Linked DNA regions of Daphnia pulex. The protein of the gene in region 1 purifies or fractionates together with the protein of each later gene. This does not show direct contact. Links are inferred from orthologs where the notes say so. Each region holds a gene or a part of one and is shown in the gene's direction. Other genes may lie near its edges. The genes, in order: interleukin enhancer-binding factor 2 homolog and regulator of nonsense transcripts 1-like.

Region 1 (10,952 bases):
GCAAATATAGATAGGTGTGGTCATCGTGTCATCTCTGGTCGTGTTCTTGATAGAGAATCACTGAATACACACTCCATGCTGTTTCTAGCAGGTAATTCAAATCTAATGATTATATGTGGGAGCTTAAATAGAAGAGTCAAACCGGTTTCAAATTTGTGAAATGTTTCTGACTAGCATCATGTAAGCCCCCTGTCAATATAGCTATGGTAGTTTGTTATTTGCACTATGTAACCTTTTCTTTATTTGTGCAGATTTCAGGCCAGAGCCAGCCATCATAACAACATGATATATGCCAGTTTTGCTTTTACTGGTATTGACCTGTCATCAGCAACAATCTCACTATCATCGCTTGGGTAATTATGTGTGTTACTTTTATCCCTGTGACCTGCTAGGTAATTTTAATGATGCACATGACTTGCATGCATGTTGTAACATGGGAACTTTCAATTCTCCCATTTATTAAAAATTAGGGTTTACCCACTTTCTCATTTTCAACTTTTTTCCTACTCTTTGATTCTGCAAATATTTTTCGTAACCAATTTTTTATTTTTTTATTAGATAAACAGTATCCCGTTTGATTGAAGATTACCGATGTTGGATCCCGAGTTACGTGATCTCTTATTCCCTTTTATGTAAATTCCTCTGTCCTCGTGTACACCCATGTGAGTGTGGGTGTATTCACGAGTCTGAGGCCCTTTTTCCTATCCCGCCTGGTGGATTCAACTTTTCAGCGGATGGATGAAGCACTTCTGGATGGATGCCTGGCCGTATTTCCCAGACTTAAAGGTAGGAAACATGTATCTCTATTCTTCATTTTTGACTATTTGGGGGCGTTAATTATAAGTCGTTACATAGTACGGAATACGATTATTCCTGAGCTAGGCGGTTGAGTGGAACTTTTTTCTCTTGTCGTTTTTGTTTACTCAGTCAGGGTTCATTGAATAAATCTTTGTCAACCCACAACTTTGTCTGTGGGTAAACAAAAATATTTTAACTTTAAACACTTGAAGCAAAGTGCAACTAGAAAATTTTAACGACAAAGAGGGACCTGCCGGCACCTCAGGAATATTTAAAATGAAACCGAGCTGTATTATTACAGATACATCATTTTAATAACTATGTTACCAGAGAATGCATTTATTAGGGCGGTTCATGGCACTATCTTTCGAGCATTTGAAGTGACGGGAGAAATCGACCGAATTGGACAGGGTGCCTAGTACTCGATAGCGTTCGGGACTGTGCGGACCGTTCAAGATTTGCTGTTTGAGACTCTGCGTTGTTTGTTTGCCACACCAAATGTTGCCATAGGAAATGAAGAAGAGCTGCTCCGGTGTGTACTGCTCCAAGCCGGGCAGACGGGCTTCTCGCCCGTTCAGGGCTACGTAATTCTGATAGGCTAAAAAGGCCTCCCTAACGCCGCTGTTATCCGCAATGTTTTCCCCTTGTGAGATGATTCCATTGATCTAAAAATTCCCGCGTGTTAATAATACTCCTGGTTAATTGAATTTATAATGCTCACATGAAAAGCTTCAGTTCCAGCGAATTCCGGGAAAGTATAGTTTCCGTATTGCTCGACAAAGCACTGCGCTCCTTGGAGATATTTAGTCAGCGTTTGATTAGTCCACCACAAGTTGACTCGACCGTCTTTATCTGTCTGCCGCCCTGTCATTTATAAGAAGCCGAATTGAGTCACGCGCATTCAAATATTTTTAGTCATTTTAATTTACCAACCGTGATCGTCAAAGCCGTGGGTTATTTCGTGCCCAATTACAGCTCCTATTCCGCCGTAGTTGAGAGCACTACGGGAGAACAAATTCAATTATACAAGCCCTTTTGAAATTCAAAAGAATAGAGTTACTTACGCCAAGCGACCCTTTCCAAAAAAGGGTGGCTGTAAGATCCCAGCAGGGAAAGCTGTCAAATCATTCGAAAGGTTTTTTTTTATTAATTAAAGGTAAAATTGGGTTCAACTTACTGATGGAATTGTAGAAAAAGTAATAAAAAGCGTTGACAACCGACGGAAAAGTGACCCACCTTTCAAATAACAATAACAGATTATGCAAGAGATTATGTAACAAGTTATATAAATGGCCAAATTACGTCGTACGATCTGTTGGCAACCGAAGTCCTTTCATCTCTCCGTACTCTAAAAACCGAGTGACGTTGAGATAATTTTCAAAGTGACTATTGCTGTTTATCTCCACCTGAAAATTGAAATAGGCGGTCATGTACTGTGATTCGATTTGAAAAGTAAATGAAAGTAAAGACACACCCCTTCGTAAGCAAGTGTCAGTTGAGTTTTATTGAGTATCCAGTCCGGATAAGCCACAAATTCTTTCATGGCGGCCGCCTTTTCCAGCGCTCGAATTTTAGTTTCCGGGTCCATCCATTGCGATTTTTCCACCAAGGAATTGAACGCTTCTTTCAAATGTCCAATCATTTCAATCGCCTTTGAAGAAATAATTTTTTTTTTAATTGTAATAATTTTCCCGTAATAAATCCAAAGCGTACATCTTTTTTGGCGTGTTCGTCGAATGCCCTCTCGACGTACAGAGCCCCAACGGCGAATCCCAACGTGTTGGCTACTTTGTTGACGCAGAACCGCCACCTTGGTTGCGGTTCTGAAGCCCCGTAAAAGACTTTCCAGAATTTGAATGCGATCGAGTTCATCAGCTGATTCGTATTATCTCCCGCCTTCATCACCAAACGCCAGTGGATGTAATTTGCTTCATTCAATTTAAAATGTTAGTCGATTGTTTATTTTTCCAAGTTGATGACATACCAATAACTCTCGGGGAAGTTTGGTCCAAAAGACGGACGAGTTTGCGGAGGAATTCCGGCTCGGTGACGACAACTTGCTCGTTCTCAGTCACAGAAATGTTGACGACGGAGTAAATGTCGCTGATATAATCAGCCCATTTAATCTGTTTTTTTTTTGTTTTTTTTTTTCAAACCAAAGCTAAATTATATTAGAAGATTTTTGAATAATTTTAACTTTTACGTAGTTGGTTGAACGAGTTAAATGGACAACATTTGTCCACCGCTGCAGAGCGTCTAATCTCATGGGATTGTACATCCGCGTCCTGTTCCTCCTCATTTCCGGCTTGGTTTGAATCTGCGAAACAATTTTGGTGAATATTTTGACTTATCATTACAACGTTGATTATACTTTGGCGAGTTCTATTTGGAAATCAATCATCTGTTCCACTTGACGGGTTATGTCGGAATCATTAGATCCTCCTTGAATCGTGTCCCGTACCGCCTTGGCTGTTTCGAAAGCGTAATTGGCATACGCTTTCATCACGGCAGCTGTTGAGTTTGACTTGGCGTTGATCAGTGTCGAGTACGGAAGTCCCAGTCCGGATTGATCCACCTAATAAATTAAGTAAGATAGCATTAAGTTAAAAATATCATTATTCATTTATTGATCCAACAACGTACGTAAATGGAGCTTCTATTAGTGTCCTTCCAGTCAAGATAATTGTACACTTCAAAGAGAAAACTTTCTCCAAAGTTCTTCCGGATGGATGAGCTTACTGATCTCCAATCGAACTGGTCGGCCGTCCAGTTTGACACGGTCATCGGCCACCGACCGTACGAATCCAGAATTTCAGTCAACGGTGTCAATCCCAAAATTTCAATCGCATCCGTGTCCATGCAAGCCTTGTACATATCTCGAGAATTATTCACCGGTTTCGAATCCCGCATCGCATTCGGCTCGGTTAAAACTTCTGTTTAGTGTTCCGGCATTTTAAAAATTAAGCGATAAGACGAGGAGATCAGTTTTCTTAAATACCTTTAAGTAAGTGAGTGACTTGTTCCCTTAAAATATTGAAATGGCCCCAGCGGGAACTTGTTTCTGGAATGCTGTTCTTACGAAGCCAACCTCCGCAGGTGAACTGGTAAAAATCCTGACAAGGATCGACGGATGGATCCATGGCTTCCATCAAAGCAGCGGCTGAACCCCAATCATATTCCTTTCATTATAATAAAAAATTTCATAGGTTGAATAGATTTACCTGAGACGACGCATTCCTTGGTGTTGCAAACGGGATCTTTCAGTTTAAAGCCATCGATCGTAAGTTGAGCACTTCCCAGCTCTTTGATCACAGCGTCCAATTGTTTGATGGATTGGCTAACTGTTTTTAAGAATTTTGACTGAGATCAAACAAGAAATTCTAACTTGATTGAGTCAGTGAACCTTGATAGCCTAAAAGTCCAGTGGCCACCATAAAAACTCCGGCAACAACGACAGCTACCCGCACGATCCAGCGAGACTTTTTCGGGCTATGTGCCGTCCAAAAATCGAAAAGTGAACTTTTTCAATCCAACTGTCAAACATGTAAAGATACGTACGTTTTAATATTTGCTGGGGCTAGAGTCTCTGTCGATGTGACGACGAATGAATCCGCCATTGTTCAATCTTACAGAAGTGAATATCAAAAGTTGTTGTATTTTTAGCGAATTTTGGGTAGCTCGTCTCCGCTTTTTCTTCCTTGAAGAATGACAATTTTCTTGCCAGTTACTGATTGTTAAATACAGGGAATACTGTACATGATGTACAAAGGTGTCAGTGGAGCAAGATATGTGTTTATATAAAGGAACGTGACCTGAAATACTCTCCCCTAGTTATATCGACGGCTACACAAAATGAAGCACACTTAACGTCTCGAATGACAATCACCAGCAGTCTAAACTATCTTCCGTGGATTATATTTCTTTTGTTCTAGGGTCGAACAATATGTTCTTGGCGACCGCATCAGATTGGAAAGTTCATCTTTGTGTGGCAATCGAAAACAATGGTAGTAGAATGAATATCCTCATTTTCAATGAAATATTGATGTACCCAGTTTATCAACAGATCAACATTATGTCGCTTTTCCTACACAATTCTTTCAGAATGTCGCCCCAGAGTTTGTTTGTTCAATTCTACAACAAAGAAAATTACATAACGAAGGAACGCTTCGTTCGTGAGTGAGCACGACCGGAGCTGAGTGTGTAGGATGCATTAATGATCTGACAGTAATTAGAGTGCATTAATGAAACTCTGTATTTTTCTTTGAACTTTTTCACATAAAAAAAATTTGAAATTATACTAAATCGTGTTGGGCATGAATAGAATATTCAAGAATTTAGTGTACATAATTTTCTAACAGAAGAACAGACAATGCGATATAATAGTATTGACATCCTAATCGTGATCCACAGATTTAAGGATTTTCTAGTGTTTCGGTCGCCTGTAAAGCTCCCAATACCGATTGGCTGATTTCCGTCTGTAATTCGTGCACCCGTTCTTCTTCAGCGGTCGGTTTCTCGTCTACCGTCAACTCGATAACTTCCTTCGAATTGTCAGTTGTCTTACATGCTGTCAACACAAGATGATGGAACTCTTCCGTTTTATCAGCGTAAACATGGTGACCGGCACCGCCAATAACCTGAATGAAGACGCTCTTGTTTTAAACATTCAACTGAACACTGAAAACCAGTCGCTTACGTGGAGTTCAACAGTGGATTCCTTTCTGCTATCTTTAATTATCTGTCCCGGATGCCTGTCAACCCACGATCTCGCTCCATAGATGAACGTTAGAGGAATGTCTGATCTTAGTGCGGGGATCCGGTGAAGCATTGGGTATTTTGCCCATCCAAAACTAGCCATCTATGCGTCGAACAATAAATACTTAAAAGTGTTGATTTGGAAAATAAATCCTTTCAAAACTGCTTACCATAGCATGAAAGCAGGATTCCCCTCTGAAATTGAAAATATTTAAGACAGAAAAAACTTTTAGTCGATTGTTTAATCAAATTATCATTATTTGATCCGTTCTTACGTTGGACTTTGGGCGTTGCAATGGTAAACGTACTGGGAAATGGCTTCATCTGCATCTTCTACTGTCCCGGCATACTTTTGAAAAATGTCGGGACGAGCTTTTCGCACTATATGAGGCCCTGTTCAGTAGATTCAAAATTGATTACAAGGAAGATAAGCATAAGCTGGATAACACACAACTGCTGTCTATTGAACAAACCTAGACGTCCAGACACTCGGATAAGCCACAGCGGGTTAAAAGGTTGAAGGAGATAGGCGATTCCCTTCACCCAGGGAGGAATTCGGATACGGTTGTTCGAATCGTTCCCGGACGGACGATCAGGAAACCCCCAAGGGTCTGCCAGCACAACGTGCGAAACACGGTCGGGATGTTGTAGAGCATAAGCCGAAGCGAGAAACCCTCCCATACTATAGTGAAATACAATTACAGAGTACTATTTGATAATTGCATCAGTATTGCTTTATACCTATGACCAAGCAGCACAAATTTTTCCAATCCTATTTGCTTTCTCCACTCTTCAATGGATTTCACCATTTCAGACTCAGCTTCTAAGGCATTACTGCTAAAGTGTGGTCTGCTGCTGGAACCAAAACCTGGAATAATATTGCATCATATGAAACGATTGTAATCTTAAACAAAAATGTAAAAATGTCTACCTAAAAGATCTATTGCATAAACAGGCCTCTCTCTTGCAAGGGTATCAAGGTTAAGGCACCACAATGCAACACCCGAAGCAAATCCGTGAAGCATTACCAATGGTGTTTTTTCTGCATCCTTGTTGAGCATCAAGGTCCATATTTTGTTCTCAGTGCCTCCTACACACTTCCCAATATTGACATACTTTGCCTCGTATGCAGTCTTGATAACTAAACAATCATACAGTTAATTTAATAGTGAATATGGTGACTAACTGCAAAGTGCCAACTTTACCTTTCAGAATTCTGCTCTCTGCTCGCTTAAGGTGATACATTGATGTTGGACACCACTGGATGTAATTGCTTACACTCCACCAACTATCAAAAAGTATATGAAATGGGCTAAAGATTAAAATTATGATTTATTTCGTATCTTACATACCACTTATTATCCACTTCAGCTACAGTTCCAGGAGTAACCTGTTCAATAACAGTCTGTTGATCTATTTCCATCACAATCTCTGTAGTATTCCCAGCAGAAAAACTATAGTTATGTAATAGGATGACACAGCTTATTCCTACTCTAGGCCTATGTAGAGACCGCCAAACGAATGTGGCTACTATTTATGCAAATGAATCAAGGACTGTCTGACGAGCTTAGACAAAACCTTTAAAAGTTGAAAAATCACGAGATTTTAAGGAACGAACACTATTTAAGCGTATTACAATCTGCTCGTTGTGCTGTAAATATGTTATCTCTCGACGAACTTCGGACGTACAGTTTTCTTTCTCTTTTATAAATCTGCAGCACCTTGAGTTCGTCTGCTTCAACTTTATTGATGATTGGATTGCTACGTAATGCTGACTTGAAAATTGTAAACAAACCAATTTTGAATGGAAGTGGCTATTGCTGTGGATAGATGGCTGTAGTAGCAAATGTTTGCAATAAATAGTTCTCCAGTATACTGGATTTATTGCATCGAGATTTAAATTTAATTAATTTTAAAATTATTTTTTTTGTGGTTACATTTTATATGTACATTATTCACTTTTTTTATTTGCCAGCGGCTAGGCTACGTTTGCTCTGCACATGACCACTGCATCCTGCGGCCGGCTGAGTTTCGTGGCATTTCGACATTTCGTAGATGTTGTTGTCTGCTAGGTCGATTCTGCTTTGAATTTGGTCGTCTTATTGTAGCTTTTGCAAAAGTTATTAAACGAGGTTGATAGTATTTTTATTTGAGCTCTAGTGTTGTTTGTGTCTCCATCAAACATCTCTGATTTGTAGAATCATCATGCGTGGAAATTTTCGTCGAAATTCTCGTATGTTACGGCGCGGTGGGGCCGGTCCGATATTGATGGGAGGAAGACCAATGCATCATATGTCCGGCTTTAAACCTCGTCCTCATATCCTTCGAATGCCGTTTGATATGTTTGTTTCTGAATCATTTTACCCACGACTCAAACCCCAACCTGATGATAAAGATCTCACTCAAGCTTTGTTGAAACGGCATGCTGAGCTTGTCCCTCCTGCCAACGAGCAGACTTCCATTCAGTGTCTTCTTCTCAAAGTACAGGGGATTCTTGAAGGACTTACTGTGGCCCCAGGATCCTTTGAAGCTTGCGTAAGTGCATATTTTTTATGACTTTTTGTGCCTGACAAGTAACCACCACTTATTGTGATTTTGAATTTAATTTCAGCAATTGGAAGAAGTGAGGATTGTTGGATCCTTTAAAAAGGGAACAATGGTCTGCGGTCACAATGTGGCTGATCTTGTCGTCATTTTGAAAACTCTTCCAACACATGAAGCTATTCGTTCCCTTGGGGCCAAAATCTTGGAGGAGGTGCAGAAGCAACAAGCACAAATAAGTATGTTGTTATTGGTGTACTAGTGTATTCAGTGTATTCCTTCTAAATAATTATGTTTACTTGGTTTCAGATCATGAACTTGAGATAACTGACCGAGGTTTTAACATTCTCAGCGTGACTCCGCCTGAAAATACAAAAGCGGTCGTTCGAGTTTTAATTACAACTATCGGCCGCAACTTTAGGCTCATCAGCTCATCAATGCATCTAGACATGAAATATCTCCAGTCACACTTAGCTGCCGTCCGACACAGGTAACATTTTTCTTTCAAATTCTTCTGTGGTTGTTTCGCTAAACATTTATTAATATTCAGCCGATGGTTCGAAGAAAATGTTAACCACACATCAGTTAAAGTCCTGATTCGCTTATTACGTGATATGAGGACACGCATAAAAGGACTTGAACCATTGAGCCCATGGATGATCGATCTTCTGGTAACTTTCAGTTTCTATTTATTGGTTTTCAGAGTTTACTAACTTGATATTTTTGTAATCACAGGCTCATTTTAGCGTACTCAACACCCCTAATCGACAAGCATTGTCCGTCAATCTAGCGTTCCGTCGTGTCATTCAACTTTTGTCAGCTGGATTCTTTCTCCCGGGCTCTTGTGGTAAGTAGACAAGGATAATAGTTTGCATTTTTCCAATGCGAGATTTCTTATTTCAATTTGTCTTTAGGAATACTTGATCCTTGTGAGGTGGGAGCCATTCGCGTTCACATGGTAATGACGATGGAACAGGAAGACTTACTTTGTCGTACCGCCCAGAATCTCCTACGGATCCTTTCTCATGGAGGCTACAACGCCATTCTCTGTCTTGATCAGAAAAATGGTATTTCAACTTTTAATTATATTCATTGACGCGTCAATCTTATTTTCCAAATTTTCCTTTAGTGGACCCTACTGCTGAATTGTCTGTATGGAACGGCATCGTCGTCACTCCTCAGGACAGTGTCTACGATTCAACACTATACGATAGGAAAACCGGCGAGGAACCCGAAGATGAGGAAGTTGAAGAAGTTGAAGCCCCTACAACAGAGAAAGAAGCCGATTCTGCCATCTAAAGATTTGATGTTTCCGTGTATTGACTTTCGGTGTGAACAACAATGACTAGTTCGGTTCAATTAATGACTAGAAAAAACAGATTTGTTATGAGTATTGAGAGTTAAATGCAGGGATTATCATCGCCCGTGAGATCAACGGAATCGCAATTGATTGTATCAGTGCTTTCAAGAACAGGGATTCGGAAAAGCTGCCCGGCTGGCATGCAGATGCACAACTTGTATTCAGCCACTTTTGTTGCGTTGTGATCTTCGAGTCTCCCAGTCACGGCCATGGCGTCTACATCCATTATTACGCCATCAGATCCGTCTAAAATAATGCTTCCATTGATACTGCGCAACAGAAGATCCTGGTCGGCTCTCATTACAACTTCTTTGCCCCGGATCCTCATTCCCTCTTTGCCTTTCACGCGAATGGCTTTCTCTGATCTGATAAGTAAGGAGCCTTCCAACTTGCTAGTAATCCTGTTGGCCGTGGCTTTCTTGATGTGTAAGTTCAAAACACCTTTAGGCAAACCGAAATTAGGAAAAGTTGTAGAAAATGCGCTAGTCTTTGGGGTTGTGCGCGGTTCGAACATCTCGAAACCCTCGACTTTCCGAAACTCGACTTTATCTTGACTGATGATGATCTCTGGTTCTTCATCACTCATAACCTACATGGGTATATTTAATAGTTGTTTTCTTATTCCATGTTTGTTTAAATTTCATTACCTTGAAGTTTAGATCATCTCCATCACTGGTAATTGTTACTGGGCTCTCTTTAAAGCCAGTAAACATTCCATCAGCTTTCATGAGTTTGTTCATCTCCAGATCACCAAAAAACTTGATGAGATTTGCAGTGGGGACAACTTCAATGTTCTCCATTGATTTTGTAACATGAAGAACACTGTAAAAATGACATTTCAGTAACTGGAGAAATTTTTAAAATTAAATGGTAATCTATACCTGAAAATAGTTATGGTGAGAAAAAAGTTCCCTAATGCAACAACACACAAAACAAACACCAGCGCCCAAAAAGTATATCCTGCGTCCAAAGATGTTAAAGGTAAAGTGAATCCTTTAAGTAAAAATGTTTTATTTAGTTCAACCTCTTGGCTGGTTCTTTGCCTTTTTAGTTTTTACATGATCTTCAGTAGCAGAATCTTCACAAAACTGTGGATTTGGTCTAAAAGGTGAAGAAATTATTTGCAATGTATTTTTTTTTTAATTTTCGTAAGTGTAGTACGCGTTATTAGCCAAAGAAGGGCGGCTGACGTTCCGTTTCACCAAAGCTTTTTCAGCCCTAGAGAGGGTAGAAACCTGTGAGGGCACTCCATTATTGCAATCCATAGCTTGAATAGGTTATCAAATACAGAAATCTAGCCAAAATTTTGACTTGGAACACAACCAAAGAGTCTAGAAATCAAAACAATCACATTTATTGACGTAGCAGACAAACATTTAGAGGCTGGGAAGCGGCGGCGCTGTCTTTTTAAAAAATTGTAATTTAATCTTTGCATTTCTGGCATTTGGTCGACAACGCTGTTGCAAAATTTTAGTCTGCTGACTCTGTTAGATGACGA
Region 2 (11,553 bases), on another chromosome or scaffold:
AAGAAGAGGCTAAACTTTTGCTCGACAAAGGTAGATATAGGCAAACCAACAAACATTTGATAACAAATTTAGCTCTACAAAAGAAGATTAAGTAGGAAAAGAGCACAGCAGCACGGACGAAAATCCTTTCGTTAACATTTTGAGCTATGCCATTCAAAGGCGTCGTCTGACTTCGGTTATTTTCCAAGAGTATGCCAAAATTTCCGGAGAACCAATTGAAGAGACTCTCAAATCCCAAGTGTCTGAAGACATTTTATTTTGTCTTCTTGAAATAGGTTCATTCTCTTTGATATTGATGTGATTAAACACAAATTTTGTACAGTATATATTTTCCTTTCAAACAGTTAAAATAGTTCGCAACCGACCGGCGTATTTTGCCGAGCGTTTAGAATTGGCCATGAGAGGATTGAGTACCGATCACAACACTCTAATCCGCATCATCGTCAGTCGAAGTGAAATTGATTTGGCCAACATCAAGTTAGAGTACGAACGCATATATGGCAAAACACTTTATGGTTCAGTCGAGGTAATAAAAAATATGGATGCGACACAAATTTCTTTTGACTGCCGAAAAATAAATGACAAGTGCAATTTCATTAATTCGCAGAATGCAACTTCTGGCGACTACCGCCGCTCCCTCCTTGCTCTCATCGGACCCCCCGCTCTCAATCACGAAATTGCAGTACCGCCAATATTTTTTATGTAACTGCAGCTGAGAACTTGAGGGGAAATTTGTACGGCTATTATGCATGGTGGACACTGATAAAAAAGCGCTTCTTTTTTGTTTTGACAAGGGAAATACATATTTGCATATACAAATCTTCATACGCCTGCGATCACTTTTTTCTTTTAGTTCCTGTTCTGCGTTCATTGATTGTTGGTTCTGAATTGGGGGAAGAAAACGCGGATGAATAAAATCATACTTAATTCATTTCTTATAATTAACTTTGATTAGTCAATACGGGATAGTAATGGGACACATATATGGTGAAGCTGTAACGAACTTTCAAATATAACAAAAATAACATCCCGAGGCTCTCAAGGGTGTTGTCTCAATGGAAACTTGTTTCCGCCTTGTTCCTCATCCCTTCAAGGCCAGCTCGTCAAGGTTCACCAGTAGATTTACATATTTTTTTACAGTCCACAGCAGACGTGTGTTCTATTCACTCCCTGTTAGTTTTCTTCATAATCTGCAACTAGTAAGTTCAAAACTAATGAAACTTTATACGTCTTTAATGACAACTCAAGATTAATTTTTTGTTTGGTTTTTAGTGTCGCTAACGTGGGCTGGTGAAAATAATGATTACACAAAGGTGAGTTCCACTCTCTCTTAATTTTGTATTTCATATGCGTTTCATCAAATTATATTCACGGTGAATCCATTCGGCAATTTTACATTGACTGATTATAAGAAAATATTTTTCAAGTGACCTACTAAACTAAAAATTCTCAAATTTTATAATTGTTGTTTCAACTGACTGAATAGGAACTACCAACTGTATTGCCCGAAGCCGAATTCAATGCAATGACCGACGCCCAAAAATTGTAAATATTTCCCATTTTAATCTTTAGAAAATCAGGTTTTTATTTTGGATGGGAATTAAATTATCTGGCATTTCAAATTATTCAGGCGGGCTGCCATGAAGGGATTTGGTACGAATGAAGAAGCCATCATCGACATTCTTTGCTATCGATCCAACGCCCAGCGCCAGAGTATTTCGAAAGCATTCAAACTCCAATTCAATCGAGTAACCTTTAATTTTCTTATAAAATGAGATTTCATTGTTGATTGAAATGCGTTTGATTAACAGGATATCATTGCTGATTTCAAGAGTGAACTGAGTGGCAATTTCAAGAAGCTCATTTTGAGCATGATGATGCCACCGGAAGTACACTGCGCCAAGCTTCTAAACAAAGCAATGAAGGGAGTTGGCACTAATGAGGACGTTTTGGTGGAAGTCCTCTTCTCCCGCCCCTACGATGAGATAACAAGGATTGCTTTGGCCTACGAGTGTTGTAATATATTTAGATTCAACACATAGATTAGCAAAATAATAATCGATAATAATATTAAATTTTTCTATCGATTTCAATCAGTGTACAATACTCCCTTGGAAAAGGATGTCCGAGAAGGTAATCACATATTTTTCAAACGTGTCCAACCCTATTCCGTAATGTAATAGTAGCCTATCCTTTTAATAACTTATTCTGAATTAAAGATACTTCGGGGCCATTTCAACAATTGCTTCTCAACGCTCTACAGGTTCGGTCGTTTCCATTTTAATTAAACGTCCAATTTGTGATATTTATGGGGATGTATAAACATTTATAGAGAAAGAGTGATCAAACAAGTGGCCATGGAGATTTTGCTTATGATCCAGTTAAAGCCCAAGAAGACGCACGAAATCTTTACACCGCTGGTAAATATAACTCATATGGGGGTTTATCATTATTTATTACAAGTTTCAAATTAACTATTGTAGGAGAAGGAAAAATCGGGACAGACGAAAACGTCTTCGTAGACGTCTTTGGCTTTGCCGCCCAATGTCGTCGTCAGACTTCCGAGATGTTTAAAATGTACAAGAAGATTTCCGGAAAAACAATTGAACAGGCTCTCAAATCCGAAATGTCTGGAGATCTCTTGCATGGTCTTAAGGACATTGGTATGCCTCCGGTCATTGATTATTTGCGATCCCGTAGTCAAAATCAACTTTAAATTTAACACTTTGAACGTTTCAGTGGAAATTGTTCACAACCGACCAGCTTTTTTTGCCCACCGTCTGGAGCTAGCCATGAAAGGATTGGGGACAAATGACAGTGCTCTGATCCGCATCATCGTCGATCGTTCCGAAATTGATTTGGTCAACATCAAATCGGAATATGAGCGCATCTATTGCAAAACACTTCTTAGCTCAGTCCAGGTAAATGAATCTCTAAACTATTTCTGTACTTTACATGCACAATCTTTCTGACTGACTGACTTTTTAAAAATCTCAATATGCAACCTTTGCGATCTACAACATCGGCATTTTATAGAGCGAAACTTCCGGTGATTATCGTCGCGCTCTTATTTGTCTCATCAAAACTGCCGATGATTGATTTCACTGTTTACTTTTTCCAAGTATATTTTGTTTTGATGTACCAAATTTATTGTGATCGATCTTGTGTCCGTCGTTTTGGCCATATTCCTGATTGCTGCTGCAAATGCGGAGGCAACACTTCTGGAATTTTAATTTTTTCAATATCTCAATGTAATTGGGTGAAATATACAGACATATAGCCAACTATTACCTCTAACGTCTGTAGTTGTATTTATTATGCAAAGTGTGTACATCAATTATCGCAATAGTTCCTATTTTTCGGGTTACGTCTTCGTTAAGGTATCTATTTTGACCCGACCTTCAAAAACTGCCATTGATAGAAATAATAAAAATAACGATATAAGATTTACGAAATACCAAGAAATTACCCAACTAATTGAGTCTAAATTTTTTTTTTCTTTTTATTTAATGTTTATATAAAATTTCTTTCAGTTGGTAATAGAAAACATTTCTTAGTCCGAGATAGAATATTATCTAACATACATAGTATCATGTAACATGTCGTGATCCGGCCTATGTAGAGAGCATTTGATACTGCGTTGGGAAGTAATAAAATATGCCGATGATCTAGAGATGCCGTGTTTGTATGAAGTCGCTGTCTGTGTACTGCTAGGGTTACATGTTTTTCTTCCCTACATTTATAGGGCTGTTCGACATCTTTTTTAACATTTGTTGCCATCGTGGCAACGCAGCAACTCATGTATTTTTGTCTGCTACGAGTGACTTGTTTATTCTGTGAAATTTGAAAGTTTGTATTCAGATTAAAACAATCACAAAATTTTAAATTATCTAATTGATAGGTATTCTGCATAATGAATACTAAAAAAGGTTCTGTGAGTAGATGGTGCAAAGTGTGAAATTGCCGTAACCTGAAAAGTGCAAGTGTAAAACTGTATAGTTTACCAAAGGAGGGTGTAAGGCGAGACTTGTGGTTGGAGAGAATGAATTACATCATCCACACCAACTTGAAAAATATCTATGTGTGTTCGGATCACTTTGTTACAGGTATTTATAGGTTAATACTAACAATTATTGACTATTATCTTACAATTTGTGAAATGCTTACAGGAAAGCCGAGTGGAGAATTCCACAAAAAACATGTTGATTGGGCACCCTCTATAAATGTGGGATCAAATAAGACGAAACAATTTCTAGGTATTGCATTATTCATTTCATGTGTAAAAAACATTCCTATATGTTGTTTTAATGAATGAACTATTTTGTCATTACAGATGGTGATCATCAAGTACGTAACAATGTTGCTTTTGACAAGGCTGATACACCTCCATTGATAGATGTTGAAACTGCAACTGAAGATACCTCAAACAGTTTCGATGAAGATGTTGCATTAATTGAAGATACACTTCTAATAAGTGATTCTCATCCAATCCCATCCTTGAACGATGTAACAACAAGTACGGAAACTTTTGACATGACTTCAACTGCCGATGATGAAACTATCATAACGGTTGAAACCACCTTTGATGCATTGCGTAAGTAATGTTTTAAAATGTAATTTTGTAATTAATGAAAGTAATATTTTGGTTCATTACTTATAATTTTCAGCTGCATTAAATAATTCAAGTCAATCCATCAGGGACGTCGAATTTACTTCCGGTGATTCATCACTAACAACTTCAGTTTTCGTGTTCATCTGTTGTACCCTTACTGTAGTGTGTTTAGGTGAATAATTGTCATAATAAACCAAAAATTTTCAATAAATACTTGATGTATTAACCTTGGTTAACAGGGGCACAAACATATTACCATTTTCTTCGTAATAATTTAATCAAACACAACATTTTCACAAATGGAGATTTTCTTTTTTACAAAGGAAGGTACACAAATTGTATCTTTTCGCTCACTAGGGCCTACTGATTGAGGTTATATTGGAAAGTGCTGTTCTCTGAACTTGACTGTTACTAGGAACGACCGGTAAGTTATTTTTCTTTGCTTTTGCCGCTGCGGCTGCTACGGCACGAGCAGCTTTCTTGCAAGTGTCATACTTCCAAAGCTTTGTTATTCTTTTTGGGGGATTAGTTTGCGACTTGATGCACGATTCGTGGAATGTTTTTCTCTTGAAATTGTTGTCTGCACAAATAACTTTCCCAAATAACGTGTTTTGGCCTCAATACTAAGTCCACTGGCATAATTAGACAGTGACATAGTTAAACACTAACACTATAACGAACTAATATATAAATAAAACACATCACAACTTCAAAACAACCCCCTTTTCTATCACTATTTTTCAAAAAAATTCATATTTCGCAGAACAAACACAAGTCACTCGTAGCAGACAAAAATACATGAGTTGCTGCGTTGCCACGATGGCAACAAATGTTAAAAAAGATGTCGAACAGCCCTATATGTCTACGAGAAATGAAATGTCTTTTTCTCTGAAACCACTGGCTTCCTAATTCTGTGACTCAATTATTATCTGAATCGTGGTTTAAGACCTGTTTCTACTTCATTAATTCTTTTCTGTATAACAATGTAACTATAACCTGCAAGCAATATTTAAATCACGAATGTGAACAATAATAATTTGTGACTGGGCACAAAAAGTACCATAGGAGCACATAATCTGGCGATCCCGAAAATCTTTATCTATAAAGCGTTGTTATTTAGCTTAGATCTAAGTGTGTTTGTTTGTGTGCCACTGTGCCTATCTAATGTGCAACACAACTGGTATTTCATTACATTTTTCAAAAGATTGCGCAAGAGGGCGGTTGCATCAACCATCAAGCCGAGAGATGGCGCTTCGATCGCACTAAAGGAAAAGGGAAAACTCGCACAGCCGTGAAAACACACATGCGAGTTTCGTTCCGTAAGAGATTGTAATTGACGTCATTAATTGCTATACCATTTGGCAAAATGAGTGTGGACACTTTTGGGCCCAATTCGCAAACGCTCACGTTTCTCGACACCGAGGAAAATGATTTACTTGGGGCAGACACTCAGGGAACTGATTTCGATTTTCGCGATTTTACTTTGCCGAGTCAAACCCAGGCTTCACAAATTGATCATGCCAGCCTTCACAAATCAATGGGAAAACATCAGGTAAGAAATCCTGCCTGGTGAAACTTTGAAAACATTTCTGTAATTTGTGGTCATTTTCAGGCGAATGGGCTGGACACGATTGATTCTCAACTTGCTACTGCAATGAAAAATTTGAACGATCTCCAGTTTGAGGAAGAAGATGAAGAGGGCTATTACAGCAAAGATTTGCCACCACATGCATGCAAGTATTGCGGCATCCATGATCCTGGTTGTGTTGTAATGTGTAATATTTGCAAGAAATGGTTTTGCAATGGCAAAGGTAATACTTCTGGCTCTCACATTGTTAATCATCTTGTACGAGCCAAACACAAGGTAAAAATATTTTAAAAATATAAATCTTAATCCTTGTTTATAATCAAACTCTTAATTTTTCAGGAGGTTACATTGCATCGTGATGGACCGTTGGGTGAAACAGTTTTGGAGTGCTATTCTTGTGGAGTCAGAAATGTTTTTGTTTTGGGGTTCATTCCTGCTAAAGCAGATTCAGTTGTTGTGCTGCTGTGTCGCCAACCTTGTGCAGCTCAGTCATCATTGAAAGACATGAACTGGTTAGTTAAATTTACTGTGCTGTTTGTCATGTGTGGTTTTCTACTAACTTCTTCTTGCTAATAGGGACATTGAACAATGGAAACCACTTATAGCTGATCGTTGTTTCCTCAGTTGGCTTGTTCGAAGCCCTTCAGAGGCCGAACAGATGAGAGCTCGTCAATTGACGGCCCAGCAATTGAACCGTTTGGAAGAGATGTGGAAAGAGAAACCTGAGGCTAGTTTTGAAGACCTGGAACGTCCTGGCGTTGACGAAGAACCTCAGCACGTATTGCTGCGATATGAGGATGGCTATCAATATCAGAATATTTTTGGTCCGCTAGTGAAACTTGAAGCAGACTACGACCGACGAGTTAAAGAAGCCCAAACTCAAGACAACGTTCACGTTCGCTGGGATGTCGGTCTTAATAAAAAGACTGTCGCTTACTTTAGTCTTCAAAAGACAGATAGCGGTAATGCCTAATATTTATAGTTCACTAGTGTCCCTTCTCATATTTTTCGTTAATTCAGATATGAAACTGATGCATGGTGACGAATTAAGATTGCGTTACCTTGGGGAACTACACAAACCGTGGACTGGTTTGGGGCACGTGATTAAACTTCCAGACAACTACAGTCAGTCTAATATATAATAGTAATAATAATGATAATATAATATATAAATAACTATATTTTAGGCGAAGAAGTCGGAATTGAATTAAAGAATTCAAACGGAGCTCCTACAGAATGTTCCACAAATTTCGTCGTGGATTTTGTCTGGAAATCAACGTCTTTTGATAGGTAACATCCGATGAGCTCGTATTTCAAAGAGATCTAGTGACTAAGAAACATGTCTTTCAGGATGCAATCGGCCCTGCGGAAATTTGCAGTTGACGAAAGTAGCGTTTCAGCTTACATTTATCATCGTTTGCTCGGTCACGAGGTTGAAGATGTCGTATTCCGCCTACATCTCCCTAAACATTTCTCTGCTCCTGACTTGCCTGAGCTGAATCGATCTCAGGTATAAAATTTAGTTGTTACTTGATAGAACATAGAACATTCATTGCTTATCTCATAATGTTACGCTTTACAGGTTTTTGCTGTAAAACAAGCAGTTCAACGTCCATTGACATTAATTCAAGGACCTCCTGGTACCGGGAAAACGGTTACATCGGCCACCATCGTGTACCATTTGGCTAAACTAGGATCAGGGCCAGTATTAGTTTGCGCTCCGTCCAACATTGCTGTTGACCAATTGACTGAAAAGATTCATCGAACTGGTCTGAAAGTGGTCCGTTTGTGCGCGAAATCCAGAGAGGCCATTGATTCACCCGTCTCGTTCTTGGCCTTGCATAATCAAGTTCGATGTCTTGAAGGGTAAGAATTTACTTTGCGAAAATGTGTCATCGTGGGGCTAAAGTTAACTTCTATTATAGAGCTTCAGAGTTGCGAAAGCTGGTCCAGCTTAAGGAGGAAGTCGGTGAGCTTTCACAGGGAGATGAAAAGCGATACCGCATGTTAAAGCGACAAGCAGAACGAGAGCTACTCGAAGCAGCAGATGTATTAGCGTGCACTTGTGTTGGTGCTGGTGATGTTCGCTTGGCTCGCATTAAGTTTGCATCTATCTTGATCGATGAATCAATGCAAGCTACTGAACCTGAATGCATGGTCCCTGTCGTCCTAGGAGCAAGACAGGTAAGAATCCCTTGGTATTATGTGTTTTAGATTTTTATTAATTCAATGTTTTGGGTGTTTAGCTCATTCTGGTTGGAGATCATTGTCAGTTGGGCCCAGTGGTGATGTGTAAACCAGCTGCCAAAGCTGGTCTCTCGCAATCACTGTTTGAAAGACTGGTAGTACTTGGCATCCGGCCCTTCCGTTTGGAAGTACAGTACCGTATGCACCCAAGGTTGTCCGAGTTTCCTTCCAACTTCTTTTACGAGGGATCACTACAGAATGGTGTTTGCGCGGAAGACCGAATCCTTCGCGGGGTAGATTTCCCTTGGCCAATGCCAGATAGGCCCATGTTCTTCTACGTTACATTGGGTCAGGAGGAAATTGCTGGATCGGGTACGTCCTATTTGAACAGAACGGAAGCGTCAAATGTGGAAAAGATTGCTACACGTTTTCTTCGATCCGGAGTCAAACCAGAACAAATTGGCATCATCACACCGTACGAAGGACAAAGAGCTTATCTTGTACAGTACATGCAACATCAAGGATCACTACATGCTAAATTATACCAAGTAAGGGAATTCATATTTCAAAACCTTTTACGAAATCTTTAAATTTGTATTTTGTTTTTGAAGGATATCGAAATAGCTAGTGTAGATGCTTTCCAGGGTCGCGAGAAAGACCTCATCATCATGTCGTGTGTTCGCTCAAACGAGAACCAAGGAATCGGTTTTCTCAACGATCCCCGTCGTTTGAACGTTGCTATGACTCGCGCCCGTTACGGAATCATTATTGTAGGCAATCCTAAAGTGTTGGCCAAGCAGCCTGTATGGAATCACCTGCTTCACTTTTACAAAGAAAATCATGTTCTAACTGAGGGAGCTCTCAACAACCTCAAAGAATCCATGATGCAGTTTCCCAAGCCAAAGAAACCAATTAATAGTTTTAATCCTGGTCAGCATTTCATGTCCACAGCCGTCTACGACGCACGCCAGGTATGTTCGTATTCACAAAAGAATTATTTCAAATTATGTAGTGCTTGTCTGTCAAGGATCTTGTATTCTATTTTAAAATAATCTTATCATTTAAAGGCCATGGTTCCTGGTTCCGTCTATGATCGTTCGGGTGGGGGTCAACCACCAAACAACAATGGTATGAATACTTACATACCTCGAGCCACGGCCAATGTTGGAGATCCGTACAGCCGTTTGCACGATCCAATCGGTTACATTGCTCCAGAGAGGGCACAGGCCGCTCTTTCTGCTATGCCCGTTCCCTTGGGTGTCTTTATGAACATGACGCACGTCCCGCCTAGATTCCACGGCCAGCAGCAACAAGGGATGCATGGTTCATCCAAATCCAATCAGAGGCCAAAAGACAATGCCCGAGGAAGTGGGCCTCGCGCTGGCAAAGCCGCAAGCAAGGGAAGTTCTTCGCTGTTTACACAGTCACTTTCGCAGAATACACAGGATGTATCAACGCAGCCTTTCAGCCAGGGTGGCATGGCTCTCACCCAAGGAATGTCACAGGTACTAAATAATGCCAAGTTGAAAGGGTCGCGAAGGTATGCTTATCCATTTTAAATGTTCTTGTAGGGGATGTCGCAGACGGTCTCGGGCTTCGGAGCACTATCGCAATCGGGTCTATCCCAGTTAGATCCGTCACAAGACGCCTATATGTCATCAGATTATCAGTCGCAAATGGATGGACTGCTCTCTCAAGACTCGACGTATCAAGGGGGCCGTTCAGCCTTCTTCCGCCATGGCTCTCAATTCACGCAGGTAGGTTGATGAAGCGAATTTGTCTTACTCTTTGATTGAGCCTGTTGTTTTCAATCTAATGCCGACCTTTTCTTAGCCATACTGAAAACTGTAAGGCGTTGCAGTAATAAAAAAGACCCTAAGAAAATTGACGATGACGACGCCTGGCGGCAGCCGACCGTATTTGAATTCATCTTGCAGTTAAAGATAAAAGAGAAAAGGGGAAATCCAACGTTCATCAACTGACAGCTCGAAAGACCTATGCCCATCTATCAAATGGCCTTCAACGTCGCACACCATAAGCAGCACTAGCAATCTGCCGTTGAAGCAAGAGAGCGGTGTCCAGACGAACGAGCCGATAACGGAGCTGATGGGCTTCAACAAATTAATGTCGAAAAATACGGGAAACAACTGCTATACCCATACCATCCAACATAGTGGACCCTACCTAAGTCTGTTTCTAGTGGGTTGGAAGCCAACACAAAATCCCTTCGACAAACGACGTTTTTTTTTCGATAGAACGTCACCCAAAATTAGAATGCTTCTTTTGTAGGCCCCTCAGTTGATAACGCGTTCGAAGCTTAGTGAACTGATTTTTTTGAATTGTTTATTTCTCTTGACTTGTTTTCTCTCCAGTCGACCAATGCTTTCTCTGTTTCCTTTCACGCTCTTCAGCTTTCTTCACCTTATGCTTTTACATGCAAGTTTAGTTGTCCATTCATTTCGCGAGGATTAGTGTTGGGTTACTGGATGTTCTCACTTTGCTGTTGCCGAGCCCTTTAATAGCGCTCTTTTGTAGGAAGCAATTTCACATCGTGCGTTTTCTTTCCATCTTGACGGAGAAAATCAGATGGAAAGAAGATCAGAATACACTTTGTTTCACGGGAAATCATCGAGTGCGTTCTTTCTTTTAAATATTCAAGCTAACTCTGTTGTGCATAAAAAAATGACTGATATTTTTGTTTGGCAATCAACTACATAGTTATGAAACATTGTCTTCGTCTTCTCAGTGTTGCCAATGAAATTCTGATGATCCTGTAAGCAATTTCCAACTCAGCTGAAGGCTGGTGAGATCCACTTTACCACTAGGAATATATTCTTTAAAAGTGTCCTCGGCGTCTGCCATTTAGTTCCAGCCTATCACCAAAAACAACAATCCTTAAAAAATTTTAACACCAATTGGATAAGAAAGAGCCTTAAAATTGGATTAGTATTTTGATTGGATGTGAACAGGTCCGTGTATCACAAAATCAAAATTAAAGACATTACAGAAGGTGCCAACAAATTTTCGAAAGATAACGCGTATTAGTAAGAAAGATTTTGATACCCCATAACTCGTTGAAAGTGATGCTCAAAATCGAAGATGTTGTTTGTTTTTTAACATGTGCCTGGATAAAATAGAAAATATTTATGCAAGGAGAATAAAAGAC

What was found.
Region 2: the proteins of interleukin enhancer-binding factor 2 homolog (region 1) and regulator of nonsense transcripts 1-like purify together in Homo sapiens (affinity purification with mass spectrometry; 3 studies listed by BioGRID and IntAct, counting the BioPlex papers as one, with this or other methods). This does not show direct contact. The link is inferred for Daphnia pulex from reciprocal best matches to the Homo sapiens genes ILF2 and UPF1.

The regions. Positions count from the first base shown.
Region 1 is NC_060024.1:13,503,773-13,514,724, reverse strand, and holds interleukin enhancer-binding factor 2 homolog, read left to right. Parts: upstream 1-7,533; 5' UTR 7,534-7,685; intron 7,686-7,751; 5' UTR 7,752-7,758; coding exon 7,759-8,088; intron 8,089-8,164; coding exon 8,165-8,333; intron 8,334-8,403; coding exon 8,404-8,584; intron 8,585-8,644; coding exon 8,645-8,765; intron 8,766-8,829; coding exon 8,830-8,941; intron 8,942-9,008; coding exon 9,009-9,161; intron 9,162-9,223; coding exon 9,224-9,393; 3' UTR 9,394-9,453; downstream 9,454-10,952. Other genes in the region: neprilysin-like, read right to left, coding at 1,122-1,463, 1,520-1,662, 1,732-1,799, 1,863-1,914, 1,976-2,034, 2,101-2,204, 2,273-2,449, 2,512-2,726 and 8 more; (Lyso)-N-acylphosphatidylethanolamine lipase-like, read right to left, coding at 5,211-5,435, 5,495-5,656, 5,724-5,748, 5,829-5,946, 6,027-6,235, 6,295-6,421, 6,485-6,694, 6,759-6,841 and 1 more; beta-sarcoglycan-like, read right to left, coding at 9,495-10,043, 10,102-10,276, 10,336-10,414, 10,479-10,555, 10,616-10,719. UniProt on the Homo sapiens protein: Chromatin-interacting protein that forms a stable heterodimer with interleukin enhancer-binding factor 3/ILF3 and plays a role in several biological processes including transcription, innate immunity or cell growth.
Region 2 is NC_060017.1:7,852,863-7,864,415, reverse strand, and holds regulator of nonsense transcripts 1-like, read left to right. Parts: upstream 1-5,799; 5' UTR 5,800-5,978; coding exon 5,979-6,164; intron 6,165-6,224; coding exon 6,225-6,476; intron 6,477-6,539; coding exon 6,540-6,712; intron 6,713-6,776; coding exon 6,777-7,162; intron 7,163-7,220; coding exon 7,221-7,325; intron 7,326-7,387; coding exon 7,388-7,490; intron 7,491-7,550; coding exon 7,551-7,710; intron 7,711-7,782; coding exon 7,783-8,066; intron 8,067-8,125; coding exon 8,126-8,384; intron 8,385-8,446; coding exon 8,447-8,935; intron 8,936-8,998; coding exon 8,999-9,358; intron 9,359-9,454; coding exon 9,455-9,892; intron 9,893-9,958; coding exon 9,959-10,144; intron 10,145-10,220; coding exon 10,221-10,229; 3' UTR 10,230-11,012; downstream 11,013-11,553. Other genes in the region: annexin B10-like, read left to right, coding at 1-30, 93-275, 345-526, 608-706; annexin B10-like, read left to right, coding at 1,199-1,199, 1,273-1,313, 1,487-1,545, 1,631-1,748, 1,812-2,016, 2,098-2,133, 2,220-2,263, 2,333-2,420 and 3 more; uncharacterized protein LOC124197441, read left to right, coding at 4,043-4,106, 4,170-4,256, 4,334-4,594, 4,668-4,792; parafibromin-like, read right to left, coding at 11,475-11,511. UniProt on the Homo sapiens protein: RNA-dependent helicase required for nonsense-mediated decay (NMD) of aberrant mRNAs containing premature stop codons and modulates the expression level of normal mRNAs.